Drosophila melanogaster: one gene and its partner. The protein of the gene in region 1 purifies or fractionates together with the protein of each later gene. This does not show direct contact. Each region holds a gene or a part of one and is shown on either strand. Other genes may lie near its edges.

Evidence for each region. Proteins that work in one complex are often made in the same cells at the same time.
Region 2: the proteins of IntS12 (region 1) and IntS9 purify together in Drosophila melanogaster (affinity purification with western blotting, with the first as the bait; one study listed by BioGRID). This does not show direct contact.

What each region holds. Positions count from the first base shown.
Region 1 is NT_033777.3:26,861,803-26,865,059, forward strand, and holds IntS12 (integrator 12), read left to right. Parts: upstream 1-1,573; 5' UTR 1,574-1,667; coding exon 1,668-2,654; 3' UTR 2,655-2,757; downstream 2,758-3,257. Other genes in the region: Lerp (lysosomal enzyme receptor protein), read right to left, coding at 1-131, 189-405, 678-764, 835-891; ball (ballchen), read right to left, coding at 2,867-3,257. UniProt on the Drosophila melanogaster protein: Component of the integrator complex, a multiprotein complex that terminates RNA polymerase II (Pol II) transcription in the promoter-proximal region of genes.
Region 2 is NT_037436.4:16,102,858-16,107,412, reverse strand, and holds IntS9 (integrator 9), read left to right. Parts: upstream 1-1,785; 5' UTR 1,786-1,849; coding exon 1,850-1,858; intron 1,859-1,919; coding exon 1,920-3,077; intron 3,078-3,134; coding exon 3,135-3,932; 3' UTR 3,933-3,979; downstream 3,980-4,555. Other genes in the region: Zn72D (Zinc-finger protein at 72D), read left to right, coding at 1-459; CG43295 (uncharacterized protein), read right to left, coding at 985-1,437, 1,511-1,561; IleRS-m (Isoleucyl-tRNA synthetase, mitochondrial), read right to left, coding at 3,980-4,555. UniProt on the Drosophila melanogaster protein: Component of the integrator complex, a multiprotein complex that terminates RNA polymerase II (Pol II) transcription in the promoter-proximal region of genes.

The DNA of each region.
Region 1 (3,257 bases):
AGTATAGTCGCAGGAGAACATTACATGCAGCTGGTAGTTGGGCTTGTCGGCAGTGCCATTGTCGCATTTTGCGCCGCTTTTGTACTTCAGAAACATATTTCCATTGTTGTAGAACAACTCGTGCTGACGACCTGAACAGTAAAGGTATCTTAGCGTGTGAGATACAGATAATGTGATCGTTAACTTACCCAAAATATACTCCTTTCCCTGTCTTTTGAGACAAGCTGCCACATTACTTTCCCCATTGCAGGTTCTTGAAAGATTTCCGCATATATTGAACTCGAATTGGTCGCCTCCAATGTTCATGCTCTTCACCACATGGGCCAAATCCGAGTGGAGACCACTGAAGTCGAAGGTGCTGCCGTAAATGGGCTCCTTGAGTTTACATTCCGTGGTGGAAAATTTCTAAAGAAAAAGTAAACATATTACAGTTACATATTTTCCTATTTCAAAGAAAACAAGACATTTTTTATGACTATTATCGCTTCATTATTCAGCCTATTGATTTCTTAGCCATTCGAAATGTCGGCCAACAAAGACTGGAAGTGATAAGCGAGCGAAAAACATGCAATTGGGGGGCCTTAAACGGGGTCTCGACCAAAAGGCAACAAGTGCGCAGTGAAAACAAACAAACACCCCCAAAATAAACGACCCACGCCCACTAACCGCCCACTTACCAGCTGATTGGCTGCGTCAGCGGCGACACTCTCACCGCTGCAGAAAAGCAGCAAAAGCAGGGAAATCACAATTGGGAAACGCATCTGCTGGAATGTCAGTAAATGCAATGAATAGTTTTTAGTTCAGTTTAAATGTATTCAGCATGTATCATCTTACCTGACGAAAATTTTCCTGCGTGGGAGCTGCGCAGTCCTTTTGCAAACTGCAACGCATTTTGTCACCTGCAGGCTCTGAAATATTGGCACTAAATGAGTCAAAGCGCTGGAAAGCGTTTGCAGTTTGTTTCTTTTACTGTTTTATTGGTAATTCCACCTAAGATTAGCGCTCTTTTTTCGCACACAAAGTAATTTAATTTCCCTTATCACAAGCTAACTGTTTGTTTTGCGAGAGAGCCAAGTTGTTATTGCTTTTCCAATTGGCTCTCTGCTTCGATTTTTCAACGGCCGTTCGCAGCAATTCTTCTTCTTTGCGCAGCAGAACAAATAAGGAAATGCCGGCGACGCAGTTGCACGATAGGCATAACAACGAACACAAATAGTGGCGAAATAACTATTTTTAGCTTGAATATACCTTTTTCGGATGCGGCTAAATTACCTGGCCAAAAAACAACACCCGCTCTTACCAATGTTACTTTACGTTTACAAGCGAGTGGCAGCGCTCAGAAGAAGTCGAGCTGCGTAGCAGTGTGGTAGCACTGGTCAAACAGCTGTTGGGCTTTTGAATATACATTATGTTTGAGAATCCAATACAACCAACGTGTGTAGTGTTACTTACATACTAACATTGTTGTTAACAAGGCTATATTCAGATTACATGAAATGATCCATAACTTTATTTTCATCGTATTATGGCTAATAACTTAAAATTTAATTTTCCCGCCTAAAACCTATGCACGTTGCCAAGTGAATGGCTGAAACCAAACAAACAGCTGTTGCGCGGGCATAAACTTGCATTTATATTGTTATTTACTATATCTACCCGGTATTAAGATGGCCGCAAATATAGCCGCCGCTGCTGCAGCTGCCCAAGAAGTGGATCCCGTGCTGAAGAAGGCCATCAAGTTGCTGCACTCGAGTAATCCCACCTCGGCGGCCGAACTGCGTCTGCTTTTGGACGAGGCTTTGAAGGCGCGTTTTGGTCCGGAGAAAAGTTTGACCAACAACATGACGCCACGGATGCTGGAGGATGAAGCGAACTTTTCCGGACGTGCTGCCACGCCCCCGCAGCAGCCCATCAATGCGGACGAGATCATCAATTTGACCAACTCACCGGACAAGGAGCCCTCCGATTCGGTGGACACGATTGCGGATTCGGATGACGGTCTAAGCGCCGTGGGAATAGTTAACACCGGTGACACCGGCGACTTTGGCGACCTCAATTGCTGCGTGTGCGGCGAGATGGTTTTCACGGCCACCAATCGGCTGATTGAGTGCTCCAAGTGCGGTGCCATGTACCATCAGGAGTGCCACAAGCCGCCCATAACCAAGGAGGAGGCGGCCGATGACCAGGAGCAGAACTGGCAGTGCGACACGTGCTGCAACAAGCCAACGAGCAGCGGGAGGACAACATCCTCTGCAGCGGCCGTAACGCCAACTGTCTTCATAGCCGACGAACCCATGCCGTTGACCAGCAAAGCCAAATCGTCGGTCGCGTCGTCGCGCTCATCGAACTCTTCCAACTCCTCGTCACCCTTCTACCGGCCCGAGCCCAGCAGTTCCACGAATGCCAGCAGCAGTAGCAGCAGCAAGCATGGCCACAAGTCCTCCTCTTCGTCGTCGTCCAAATCGCACAAGGAAGAACGATCCTCTAAGTCCACGGCGGCGTCTTCTCTTAGCGCCATCGGCGGAATGGAGAAGCACAACAGCAGTGGCACCTCATCGCGACGCAGCGGCTCCAGCACCAAATCCAGCTCCAAGAGCAGTTCCTCCAAGCATCACGAAAGCGGCAGCAGCAGCAAGCGCAGATCCAAGCAGTAATTTAGCATCTCTAATAATTAAGTATAAAGTTACAATCCGCATAAAATTCTGAACGTTCATTCATAATAATAATTCAATAATTCATTTTCAATAAATGATTTTTAAAGATATGTACGTGCTATCGAATTCAGTAAATGTAGGTAAAAGTAAGAAAATATTTCAAGTTTTTATTAATGAGGTTACAAATGTAAAAATACAGAAAACAAAGGCTCCTATCCCTGGTATTTCCGCACAGTGACGGCTGGTGTCCGCGGACTACGGCCGGGCGTGGAGGAGTCGCCATGGCCGTTTACCTTGCGCAGGTTAACTCGGGTCACAGGTGAGGCCTCCTCCTTCGAACTGGACGCCAACGCGCTGCGGGATGAGGGTGTACGTGAATCAACCGCCGTCGCCTTATCCTGGTCCGCTTTCTTTTTGCGTTTGACATTCACAATTACGTTGGCATCCATGCTAACGTCGAGCTCGAAGTTAAACTCATAGGTCTTCTTGGAACGCGGCTGTGGAGTGAGGTCATCGTTGATCACGGTTTTGCCACCGGGACGTCCACGCAGCGAAATAGACGGGCTGAAATTGATCTTGGCATTGGGAGTACGGAGCCGCGCT
Region 2 (4,555 bases), on another chromosome or scaffold:
TCGCTGCCCCAATGGTCTTTGGAGCTCCTCGTAGAGAAGGTCATCTCGTCGGCTGGCTTTCCCATTTCGCCCGGTGACTGCATGCGTCGCATCATGGAGGCCTTATCGTCAGGCTTTCTAATCAACGGACCGGGCCTGCTGGATCCTTGCGAGAAGGACCCCACAGACGCTCTACTCGAGTTGACCAAACAGGAGCGCGAGGATCTCACTGTGTCCGCACAGCTCTTCCTGCGCTACATTGCCTTTCGACAGATTTACAAAGTGCTTGGCATGGAGCCATTGCCGGCGATGAAGTTTCCAATGCGTCCATGGCGTGTCAACCGCAAGCGACGTAGGTCATCGGGCAAGGCAGGTGGTGCACCCGGCACGGAGACCGAGTCCAATGACATCGATGAGACCGGCTCCGATGAGAAGGTGGCCAAGAAGGAGGGTGTCGGAGGCACTCCTGCCAGCACCTAAGCGGCGAGAATAGGTTATATACACGTAGTCGGCTACTAATATTACAATTTCTCTCAAGATAAAAGCGCGACCAGGCGTCACTTAACTATAACCAACTCTAATCTATACACGAGTATTCAAACCGATTGGGGCACAAGGAGCTAAGCATGTCCAACATGTTGCCCAATCGGCGATTAGTGAATCCCAAATTACCCCAACTTTAACTAACAATATTTAGTGGATCATAAAACTTGTATTTTTCTAGCATTAGTGCAAGGCAAGGCAATGTATTCAGTTTGAATGTGAACATTATGGCCCTCACACTCATATACACAAATACTAGAACGAAGCGGATTTTAATAAAACGTATTGAACAATTATAATTAAATTATTTTTTTAATAAAGATAAGCTTAATTCATTCACGTAACTGGAAATCTTAATTGGAGATAATCTAGCACTGATAATATTCTTCGCTTTATAAATAAGTTCTAATTGAAATTAATTCAAATATATATTTATATATATGATATATAATTTTTAAGGAATTACAAGAAGTCGTTCCACTTAGAGCAAATTTTCTTAGTAACTGTTGGCATATTTTCAGCGGAACGTTTAGAGGATCGTGGCCCTGTGTTCCTGGTTTTCTTAAAGTTCATAGAGATTTCGTCGGAAAGTTCATCGGTTTTCGTAGGTTTTGCTGCAGGCTTTTGAGTAGTTTCAATGGTATTATCCACATAGTTTGCCCATTTATTTGTTTTCTTCTGAGGTGTGGTGTTTTCCTCTTTTTCTTGGCAGTCTTTCTCCTCTTCGAGCTGTTGCTTTGCCGTGAGGAATAAGCCCGTGTTCAGACATTCCTCCTGCATTCCGCGCTCTAAGTTGAGATGCTGCACCTTAACCCGGCATTCCGCTGCCGATCCTCGAAAGAATTCCTTGAGCAAACTTTGCTTTTGGCGGCAAATTTTACACTGCCATGTGCTTGCCTTTTTCACGAAGTCCACCTTGTTTAAATTAGGTATATATATATAAGTAGTTATTGAGTTCTAAGATATATTTCAGTTTGTTTGCACTCACCTGGTACATTTTGCATTGAATGCATTGTACCACGCGAATTTGCTGGGACATTATTCAAATTTGCGAAAAACCAAATAAAGAGACCAGGGATGGAAACCAACAGCACTGCAACAAGTGGAGTGAAAAAAATGTGGTTGCACAAATGTTAAAGCGTGATGACTACAGTTTAACAAGTAGTAAAACATTTACCAAAATTTGTAATTAACTAATTTTGGTACCTATGGTTAATGATTTAGCCGGGTGCTGATTCCGGTTCATAAGTGAACCAAATCGTTCCCCATCCCTGGTCCAAATATAAACAAACTTGCATCGTCTAATCGGCACTGTCGGTTTAATAAAATGCGATTGGTAAGTCATCCTGAGAAGTAAATAACAACTTAATTAGCGGAAGTGACTATCCACTTTGCAGTATTGTCTCAGCGGGGACCTGGCCAAGCCATGTTATATCATTACCTTCAAGGGCCTGCGGATTATGCTGGACTGCGGTCTCACGGAGCAGACAGTCCTGAATTTCCTTCCGCTGCCCTTCGTTCAGTCACTGAAGTGGTCCAATCTGCCCAACTTCGTGCCCAGTCGGGATCATGATCCCCAAATGGATGGCGAGTTGAAGGACTGCTGTGGCCGGGTTTTCGTGGACTCGACGCCCGAGTTTAATCTACCCATGGACAAAATGCTGGATTTCAGCGAAGTGGATGTGATACTTATCTCGAATTATCTTAATATGCTGGCCTTGCCGTATATCACGGAAAACACGGGGTTCAAGGGCAAAGTCTATGCCACGGAGCCAACGCTGCAGATCGGCCGATTTTTCCTGGAGGAGCTGGTGGACTATATCGAAGTGTCGCCCAAGGCGTGCACCGCGCGCTTGTGGAAGGAGAAGCTTCATCTGCTGCCCAGTCCCTTGAGCGAAGCCTTTCGCGCCAAGAAGTGGCGCACTATCTTTAGTCTTAAGGATGTCCAAGGCAGTCTGTCCAAGGTGACCATCATGGGCTACGACGAGAAGCTGGACATCCTCGGAGCTTTTATCGCCACTCCTGTCAGCTCGGGCTACTGCCTGGGCTCGAGCAACTGGGTACTGAGCACGGCGCATGAAAAGATTTGCTATGTCAGTGGTTCCTCCACGTTGACCACACATCCGCGGCCCATCAATCAGTCGGCGCTGAAGCACGCCGATGTACTCATTATGACCGGACTGACGCAGGCGCCGACGGTAAATCCGGACACGAAGCTGGGCGAGCTCTGCATGAATGTGGCCTTGACGATCCGCAACAATGGGTCTGCCTTGATTCCCTGTTATCCTTCGGGCGTTGTCTATGACCTCTTTGAGTGCCTCACCCAGAATTTGGAAAACGCTGGCCTAAACAATGTTCCCATGTTCTTTATTTCCCCTGTGGCAGACAGCTCCTTGGCGTATTCTAATATCCTGGCCGAGTGGCTTAGTTCCGCCAAGCAGAACAAAGTGTATCTTCCAGACGATCCTTTCCCACATGCCTTTTACCTTCGCAACAACAAGCTGAAGCACTATAACCATGTGTTCTCCGAGGGCTTTAGCAAGGACTTCCGGCAGGTTTGTCTAACATAATTGTGAAAACTTCATACTACAAATTCTCTGTCTTCCTTACAGCCCTGCGTGGTCTTTTGTGGCCATCCTAGCTTGCGTTTCGGCGACGCTGTTCACTTTATCGAGATGTGGGGCAATAACCCTAACAACTCCATCATATTCACGGAGCCGGACTTTCCGTATCTGCAAGTACTGGCGCCCTTCCAACCACTGGCCATGAAGGCTTTTTACTGTCCCATCGACACCTCTTTGAATTATCAGCAGGCAAATAAGCTGATCAAGGAGTTGAAACCAAATGTGCTTGTCATCCCAGAGGCATACACAAAACCACATCCCTCGGCCCCAAATTTGTTCATTGAACAGCCGGATAAGAAGATAATAACGTTCAAGTGCGGCGAGATCATACGTCTGCCATTAAAACGGAAGCTGGATCGAATTTACATTACCTCGGAACTGGCCCAAAAGATATCGCCAAAGGAGGTGGCGGCCGGCGTGACCTTCTCCACATTGACAGGAGTTTTGCAAGTTAAGGACAAGGTCCACTGCATCCAGCCATGTGCGGATAGCGTTAAAGACGAGACCATCTCGAGCAACAGCGCTCCGACAAAGGAGGATGTGCTGAAGAACGTCAAATACGAGTATGGCAGCATTGATGTAGATGCAGTGATGAAGAAGCTGGCACAGGATGGCTTCTCCAACATCAAGCTAGACCGCACTGGCGGCGCTCTGACTCTGAACCTTGTCAATGAGGACACAGTCATTAAGTTCGAGGACAACGAGACGCATATTATCTGCGGCGGAAAGCCAACAACCCGGCTCAAGCTGCGAGACACCATCATGAAATGCTTACAGAGTTTTTAAAAACATAAATGTATTCCTTACACCTAAATAACAACACATCATTACGCTTAGTTCTTTGCCTCCATAACGTCAGAGCAACGTTGACACGTTTTCTGCTCATCCTCCAGACCATAGCGACGACAACGTGGGCACAGTGATATCTGAAGTTTACTTAAAGCAATATCCAAGTCGCTATTATGGGACTGTAAGAGCGTAACTGACCCCACTTGCAATATCTCGCATAATTCAGAATTGCTCACAGACTCTCCAAGAGGGCTGTGAAGTTCTCGCAGCAAATCCAGCTGGCTTCTTTCCTTTCCTTTGATGGTCACGGCCAAGTGCCAGGTGTTAACATCTCCAGCCTGTTGGTTAATAAGTCGTTTAACATCGAACGCTGCATTAATCACTTCAGTGGCTTTGGTGTCCTGCCATTCAGGATTAGTCTGAACAATTTGCTCGTGGAATGCACCACCTGTGGTGTCATAGTAGCTCCAGCTTTCCTCCACCAGGAAGGGAACAATGGGCCATAAGCTCTTGCAGAGTTGTTGATAGCAGTGGGTAAGAGTTTGACGAATGGCCAGTAGCTCGTGATCATCACCACAATAAAGACGATCCTTGATGAGATGCACATAGACGGCGGACAC